2 linked regions of the Oryzias latipes genome follow. The protein of the gene in region 1 binds, or shares a complex with, the protein of each later gene. Links are inferred from orthologs where the notes say so. Each region holds a gene or a part of one and is shown in the gene's direction. Other genes may lie near its edges.

Region 1 (4,261 bases):
AGTGAAAATCTAAATATAGTCTGTGACTTTATTTTGAAATCCTGCAATAGGACCAGTCAGCCTAATTGAGGTGAGTTTCAGCTATTTTTCCAACTAAAACCAATCGGTGCACATTTTATGGACAAAGGATGTCATAAACATGTGGAAGTTGAGCACAAATCTTCATGACTTTGTTAAATGTTCATTTAAATTCTTGGAAAATAATAGAAAAGGTGTCAGTAGTTGCTCTGTAAATCGCTTTTATTAGATTAACAGAATCACACTTTATTTTATTTACATTTTGGTTTTTGCAACAAAATGGGATTAATATAAGAAATGGACTTTAATGCTGATGAAATACCGCCCTCTGATGGCCGTAGTGTAAAGCTGCAGTTTTGAAATAAAAAGCAGTGAAATAAACACATTAGGGCCCGAGCAGAGGGATTGCAAGGACTCTATGGTTTTTAAAATGTTTATTATTATTCCGAGTAAAGACTCGCCTATTTGAGGCTTAAAAAACTAACCAATTTTTGCACACGTCTCAGAAGTTGCGAAAATGTATTAGAATAAATGAATGTATTACGTGGTAGACCGGCACGGGTGCATAAAAATGGCTCGATAGATTTATCTCAAATGCACACAGACAGGCGCACACAAGACTTGCATAACCAAAATTGTTGAACAGGGGTGTAAAAACAGCACCCATCCCCACATTAGTGTAAAAATATTCATCAGAGTTAAAAACTGATGCCTAACTTTGAATTCTGAATTCAATGGCGTGCTTATTTTTTTCATTTAAGGAAAGATGACAAAAAAAGAGAAACTTCTTTTTCAATTTAAAAACAGAACATTAGAACCAAATAATCTCCTGTAATCATCTTCGTATTTTAGATTTTTAACACAATTTTTCGACTTATATTTGTCGATTAAAATACAAGACTAATATTTGAAAAAGAATGAAATTCTGAAATTAAAAGAAAAAATCAAAACATTGAGGGGTCTGACGTCACATTTTCTAACGCTGGTTGAAGTTTGAGCAGGAGCTGAACATTGTTGCCCTCTGCTGGGGAAAATGCACATTACAGGCAAAGAGACTTTTTTTCGTATGTTTCACAGAGGGGCTTTATTTAGTATGGAAGCATTTCTGTTGCATAATTCAAAAATAAAAGCATTTCTGGTTTTGACTTTTGTTTTTGAATTGTGCAACAGAAATGCTTCCATAAAAGAATGCCTTTTGCATGTGACTCTTCTTAATGTTCCTGCAGTTCTTCTTCCTGCCTGCAGGTGGTAGAGCGTTTAGAAACGCCGGCAACAACAACAACAGTAGAAGAAGAAGAAGTCGTTAACATTTTGGTGTTCTCTGTGTAGTTATCCTAAATCTGTTCACTTTAAAAGGACCAATCTGTCGTAAATCAAAGACGAAAGTTTTTGGAAAGTTTCTCTTTAGAAGATGAAGTGAGTTCTTTTGTTACTGTGACGTAAACAAAAAGTCTAAACCAGCACGTGTTGATGCTAATGCTAATGTTTGGTTTGTGTTGACAGAGCTAGCAAAGAAAAGTTTTTCGTCTGTTAAAGTGTTTGCGTGTGTCTGCATTGGGCTGTTTTATTCAGTCTGTTTGCTGTTTGGTCGCAGGTTGAACATAGAAGGTCTGCTGGTGTATTTTCCGTATGATTACATCTATCCGGAGCAGTACTCCTACATGCTGGAGCTGAAGAGGACCCTGGACGCAAAGGTGGGCTTCTTTCACTCGGGTGTTAGATGGGTTTCTGGGAAATGTAGTGCGGTAATTTCATAAACCAGGAAAACTCACTGGAGACGGTGAAGTGACTGTGTTGTGTCTGCGTTTCAGGGTCATGGAGTACTGGAGATGCCTTCAGGAACAGGGAAGACCATCTCCCTGCTGTCCCTCATTGTGGCCTATCAGAAGGTGAGTCCAGCTCTGCACCTTCTGAGCCTTCATGGCGACAGCTGCTCTAAGCTTTATTTGATTCTCAGGCGTTCCCGCTGGATGTGACCAAGTTAATCTACTGCTCCAGGACAGTTCCTGAGATCGAGAAGGTGAGTCTGACCCCTCCGCAGCCAACGACGAGCAAATCTCCAGGAGCTTTTCAAGTCCTCCGCTCATCTAGGTCGTGGAGGAGCTGAGGAAGCTGATGGAGTTTTACGCTAAAGAAACCGGAGAAGTCAACAACTTCCTGGCTCTGGCGCTGTCTTCCAGGAAAAATCTCTGCATCCATCCTGAGGTAAAAACCCTGAAAGCTGAGGGTTTCCGTGCTTTCTGGAAATGTTGATCAAACAGGAAGCTCCCTCGTCCATCAGGTGAGCTCTCTGCGCTTTGGGAAGGAGGTAGACGGGAAGTGCCACAGCCTGACGGCGTCCTACATCCGGGCTCAGCGCCACAGCAACCCCGACCAGCCTGTCTGCCGCTTCTACGAGGTAGAAAATCGCCTCAGCTTACGGGAAATCGGACCGCATGAACGTCAACGTGGCTGAAGCTCTGCGAATGTTGGGTTTGTGTCTCAGGAGTTTGACGCCGTCGGTCGGCAGGTTCCCCTTCCTGCCGGCATCTACAACCTGGACGACCTGAAGGACTTTGGCAGACGAAAAGGCTGGTGTCCTTATTACCTGGCTCGGTATTCGGTATGTAACCAAGCAGAGGCGCTCAGCACGTGCCTGACCTTTAACCCTTTCAGGGACTGAATGGATCTGGAGAATGTTTTCCTTTGTGTCCATTTAACCAATTCCAATTAAAATCCAGATCAAAGCAGCCCAACTGCGCAGCTGCAGCTGCAGCTGCAGTCAGGTTGCTCAGACACCTGTCAGTCCGTTTCTGTAAAGGACTGGAGGATTTTTCATCAACGACTGTTAATCTGTTCGATCTAAGTCCAAACTTTGACGTGGTCGTCACAGAAACTTGATGTTTGATCCATTCAGCAAACCTCATGCTGCCGCAGAGCTCTGGAGCTTCAGATGGACTTTCTTCTTCGAGATTTTCCCTGAAGAAGTTAAAATTTATGAAGTAGTCGGTGAAGATGAAAAGCTGCCCCTGACCATCACACAACCACCCCCATGCTTGACTTCTCTTCTGATGTCCTTAGTTTGACCACAGCTTCCAAGAAACGTCATGACAAAGAGTCATGACCTCTGACCTGAACCAAGTCATGTGACCTTCTCTCTGCCTTCTGCTTCTATATGGCTGTGTTCTTGAGAAAGTTAAAAACGTCACTATTTACCAAAGAAAATAATCCAAACTCATGTTTAGTTTGTGATTTTTAATGACTGTTGGCATTAACTTCATGTTTTTTTTTTCTATTTAAAATCTCATTTTTCTGTCCTAAGATTCTTCACGCCAACATTGTGGTGTACAGCTACCACTACCTCCTAGACCCAAAGATCGCAGATCTGGTGTCCAAAGAGCTCGCCAAGAAATCGGTGGTCGTGTTCGATGAAGCTCATAACATCGGTAAACCGTCTCTCTTTAGTTTGTTTCATTTTTCTTTTCTTCCCCTTCATCTTTTTTTGTCCGCTTCGTTCCTCAGACAACGTTTGCATCGACTCCATGAGCGTGAACATCACCAGGAGGACTCTGGACCGCTGTCAGAGCAACGTGGAAACACTTCAGCACACCATCCAGAAGTGAGACGCAGCCCAGTCTGCTTTTATCCACACCAGGACGAAAAACATCTGGAGTTTTCTGCGTTAAAACCCCCAAAAATTTGAGCTGTAAAACCCTAATGGCACCAGGAATTGTGGGTAATGGAGTTTCTGTTTGTCATTAACCATAAATCAGACTCATCCATATTAAAAAAAAAAAAAAGCTCAATTATGAAAGGAAATCAAATTCAAATGTTGATTCTGAAAACATCAGAGCTTGGAGTCAAAACTGTTTTTTTTCTTATTTCTATAAACATCTTTGGGTGGAAAAATAAGACGCTTCTGTTTGATCCAAACTGAATTAAAGAGAAAAATCCTGAAGTTTCCTGCCTCTAGGTTCAAGGATTTTTTCTTCATCCTGGAAGTGTCGGTTAATCAGCTGGTCCTCCATATGGAGAAATAAAAGCAAATAGGCGTGTTTTTATTACCATAATCTGAGAATTTCTGTTAAATAATTTCAGGAATCGGTCATGTGTGCTTCATTCCAGCTCCTCTCATCCGATTCGTTCTCATCTGCAGGATCAAGGACACGGATGCCGCCAAGCTGAGGGAGGAGTACCGGCGGCTGGTGGAAGGGCTGAAGGAGGCCAACGTTGCCAGGGAGACGGACGTCTACCTGGCAAATCC
Region 2 (3,451 bases), on another chromosome or scaffold:
TTACTAAAACATAAATTCACTCGTGTAACTCCATTAGTCGGACTAGGATAAGCCTCGTTCCTCCTCCTCAGCATGTCTGCAGCTCTATTCTCCATCTTCATCTGTAGCCACCACGTGCAGCTGATGGCAGAACCGTCCATGATGAGCACAATTGTATCTAAGGAGAAATTCACCATAAGTAAAAAAAAGAAAGCGTAGTGATCAAAACATAATTAAGATCACCAGAACAGAAGGTGCCAAACTGGGAAAATAAGTTCATTACTGATACATGAACTGAACATGACATTTGAAAGATGCTTCAGTAACAGCTTCATTTAGGCGACAGCTTTTCTCTGAGAAGCAGCTGTTTCTGCGCACAAAATATATGATTGTTCATCTGCAAATCATTTCCTTGTATTGTAGAGAGAAATATGGCCAACGACCAATCAGTTACCTGTTAACATGGACTACATTATGCTATTTTAGAGCCATATCCCTCAGGCTTTGATCCATTTATCCATTTATCTCCTGTACTAACTGAATCCTTTTCGTGGTCACAGGGCTGCTGGAGCCAATCCAGCAACAATTGGGCAAAGGTGGGGTACACCCTGAACAGGTCCCCATTCTGTTGTAGAGCCATACACTCGCATGCACACCTAAGGGACAATTTAAAATACTGGTAATCAATTGACCTACAAAGCATGTTTTTAGACTGTGGGAGGAAGCCAGAGTGCCTGGAGAAAACCCATGCATTTATAAAGAGAACAAACCCCACCTAAATTGACCCCAGGCAGGATTTGAACCAGGGCCATCTTGCTGTACGGCCACTGCTCTACAATGCAGCTCCCTTAGGCTTTCAACTAAAATACAATTTTTTTAAAATTTCACATCACATACTTTAAAGCTGCAGTTAAAGTTTACACCAAAAGTAACAGCCAGGATCCTGGCTCTGAAATTACAGATAAAGAAAGGTTTAGAGACTTTCTTTAAGCCACACAACACAGGCGGATGGACACTGATTAAAGGTTCAGACCACATAAAGTACATAAACATACCATAAACACAACTTAAAACATAAAACTTGTTTAATTTGGATTTTTTTGTTTCTTTTCTGTGTAGCATAAGAAGGGAGTCCATCCATCAGTGGCTGTGCTTTTAATTTGTTGAACAACTAGTGCAGCTTGCATCTCTTGTACTTTAACATTCTCATCTGTTTTTGCACCGGATGTCTGACTGTTTTACATCTACTTTAATTTTAAACTTTTCATTTTAATCCAATCCTATTGTTTTATTTTGTATCGTTATCATGTTTTATGACATGTGCTGCTGACCTCTTGACCAGGTCACATTGCAAAAAGGGATGTTGATCTCAATAGGCTTTTAACCTAGTTATATAAATGTTAATGAAAATAAATAATAAAATTAATAAAAAGTACATTGTTGATTTTCATCATGTTGATCTCGTATTTGTCTTTACTAGTAATTATATCCTTTTACTCAGAACAGCTACTTGTTCCCAACCCAAACTTTTTTTAGGAGACAATGGAGGCATGGCTTTGACTGCTGCTGTAAAAGAAACAAAGAACCAATTTCATATACCTACCAGGAGAGGGCGCTCCACTCGGAATCTGGATGTGTGTTCCGAGCGGAAGTTCTATATCAAGACTTCCGGTGTGTTCCCAGCGCACTGAGTCGCGCGGAAAGATGAACGCGCCTCCTGCTTTCGAGTCATTCCTTCTATTTGAAGGAGAGAAAAAAATCAGCATCAGTAAGGACACGAAAGTGCCGAACGCATGTCTGTTCACGCTCAATAAGGAGGACCACACGCTGGGAAACATCATCCGAGCGTAAGAACCGCGCATGCACAAACAGACAGACTGTCACAGAGCTAACAGTCTCTGGATGGATAGATTATAGAAGAAGAAGCCAGTTTCTGACTGGTTCTGTTAGCCCCGCTTATCATTCCTTGACGTTTTGGTTAGCTAATAAGGAGTGTTATTGTGTGACCTTTGTGTTTAATTTCCAAGACTTACATGTATAAACGAGAGTGACGCGCATGAATTTCATGCTCAATTTTCATGATGAAAACACAGTCCGTCTATGATCTATCTATGCAGCAGGGTTGTCACATATTTTTTCTCCTGTGTGTCACTGTCAGTCAGCTGCTGAAGGATCCTCAGGTTTTGTTTGCTGGTTATAAGGTTCCCCATCCCCTGGAACATAAAATCGTCATCCGAGTGCAGACCACCCCTGACTACAGTCCACAGGTAAGGCAAAGACCCAGCGTGTAAACACAAACGGTCTTATGCAGCTTTTTTCTTTGACACACTTCTTGTTTCGATTCAGTGCAAATCAGTTATGATTCAATTTTTTTGTTGATTTATTTTTACAGGCTGTATTAGATTATGAGAGCTTTTAGTGATTTAAACATTTGACAAAATTGGAGTTGTCATTCCAAAAAAATATTCTTAGAACTGCAGCAAACACCTTTTCAAAAATGACAGGAATATTGAGGTTATAAATTCCTACCTATAGAATTGTTTTCAGAGTCAAATGTTTTTGAAGTTTGTCATTTTTCATGTGTGCTTGTTTGTCATTGCTGACAGGGACTGAGGTGGTATTTCATTAAAGGAAATTGTCTTTTCAACAGGAAGCCTTCACAAACGCCATCACTGACTTGATTAGTGAGCTGTCGCTGCTGGAGGAACGCTTCAGGGTCGCCATCAAAGACAAACAAGAAGGCATTGAGTGATTTAAGCCCATCACAAAATTTCCTGTTTATCTTCATTTCTGTTGTTTTTTCTAAATAAATGTGATGCCACTCCCTGTTTTGTGAGAGACTTGATATTGAGCATCAGCTGAGATGACTCTCACAAGGAAACGGTTTGATCTTTTGGGGTCAGAATTCTTGTGTGAAAGTAGCTGCAACACAAAGCTGCATCTGATCCAGCTGATCAGTATGATGACAGGAACCTCCAAGGATCACTTTCATTCAGAAACCAAGGATTTGCTTCTCTCCGCTCAAACATTGTCAAATGAAAAAGACAAGATGGCAAAGCAACACTTTTATTGAGATTTTATAAAAACAGCATAGAATTGGGGGGGAGAGGGGTGAGGGGCATGATCGTTGTGAGGTCAGGGGTCAACATTTTTCTGCACCTCCATGGCTTGCTGCATCTTCTCCACCATCCAAATTGGAACGGTGAACGGCTTCAGCTCGTCCATTCTCACTTCAGGAGACTCTCTGCACACACACACACACATCTGTACCCATGGCAATCACAGCAACAACGGAAAAGCTAGAGCCGCCAATGACAGCCATTCTACATTTCAGTGTTAAAGGGTCTAGTATTGTGATCAAAACTTAAATGCGTTTCAGGGTGAAGTCACTCAAACTACACAATCTGCTGAAGCAACAGTAAAAACCGAAAATGTCTGCAGGTTCTGATCCATGAAGCTGAGGGTGTTCCTT

The links.
Region 2: ercc2 (region 1) and polr2j share a complex: the UniProt entries of both Homo sapiens proteins name them as parts of the TBP-based Pol II pre-initiation complex. The link is inferred for Oryzias latipes from reciprocal best matches to the Homo sapiens genes ERCC2 and POLR2J.

What each region holds. Positions count from the first base shown.
Region 1 is NC_019871.2:4,134,613-4,138,873, forward strand, and holds the start of ercc2 (general transcription and DNA repair factor IIH helicase subunit XPD), read left to right. Parts: upstream 1-1,258; 5' UTR 1,259-1,429; coding exon 1,430-1,434; intron 1,435-1,612; coding exon 1,613-1,712; intron 1,713-1,829; coding exon 1,830-1,907; intron 1,908-1,975; coding exon 1,976-2,038; intron 2,039-2,109; coding exon 2,110-2,223; intron 2,224-2,299; coding exon 2,300-2,416; intron 2,417-2,503; coding exon 2,504-2,620; intron 2,621-3,319; coding exon 3,320-3,443; intron 3,444-3,519; coding exon 3,520-3,616; intron 3,617-4,153; coding exon 4,154-4,261. UniProt on the Homo sapiens protein: ATP-dependent 5'-3' DNA helicase. Component of the general transcription and DNA repair factor IIH (TFIIH) core complex, not absolutely essential for minimal transcription in vitro.
Region 2 is NC_019863.2:18,095,588-18,099,038, reverse strand, and holds polr2j (DNA-directed RNA polymerase II subunit RPB11-a), read left to right. Parts: upstream 1-1,571; 5' UTR 1,572-1,611; coding exon 1,612-1,826; intron 1,827-2,137; coding exon 2,138-2,246; intron 2,247-2,629; coding exon 2,630-2,731; 3' UTR 2,732-2,807; downstream 2,808-3,451. Other genes in the region: dnttip1 (deoxynucleotidyltransferase terminal-interacting protein 1), read right to left, coding at 3,115-3,223. UniProt on the Homo sapiens protein: Core component of RNA polymerase II (Pol II), a DNA-dependent RNA polymerase which synthesizes mRNA precursors and many functional non-coding RNAs using the four ribonucleoside triphosphates as substrates.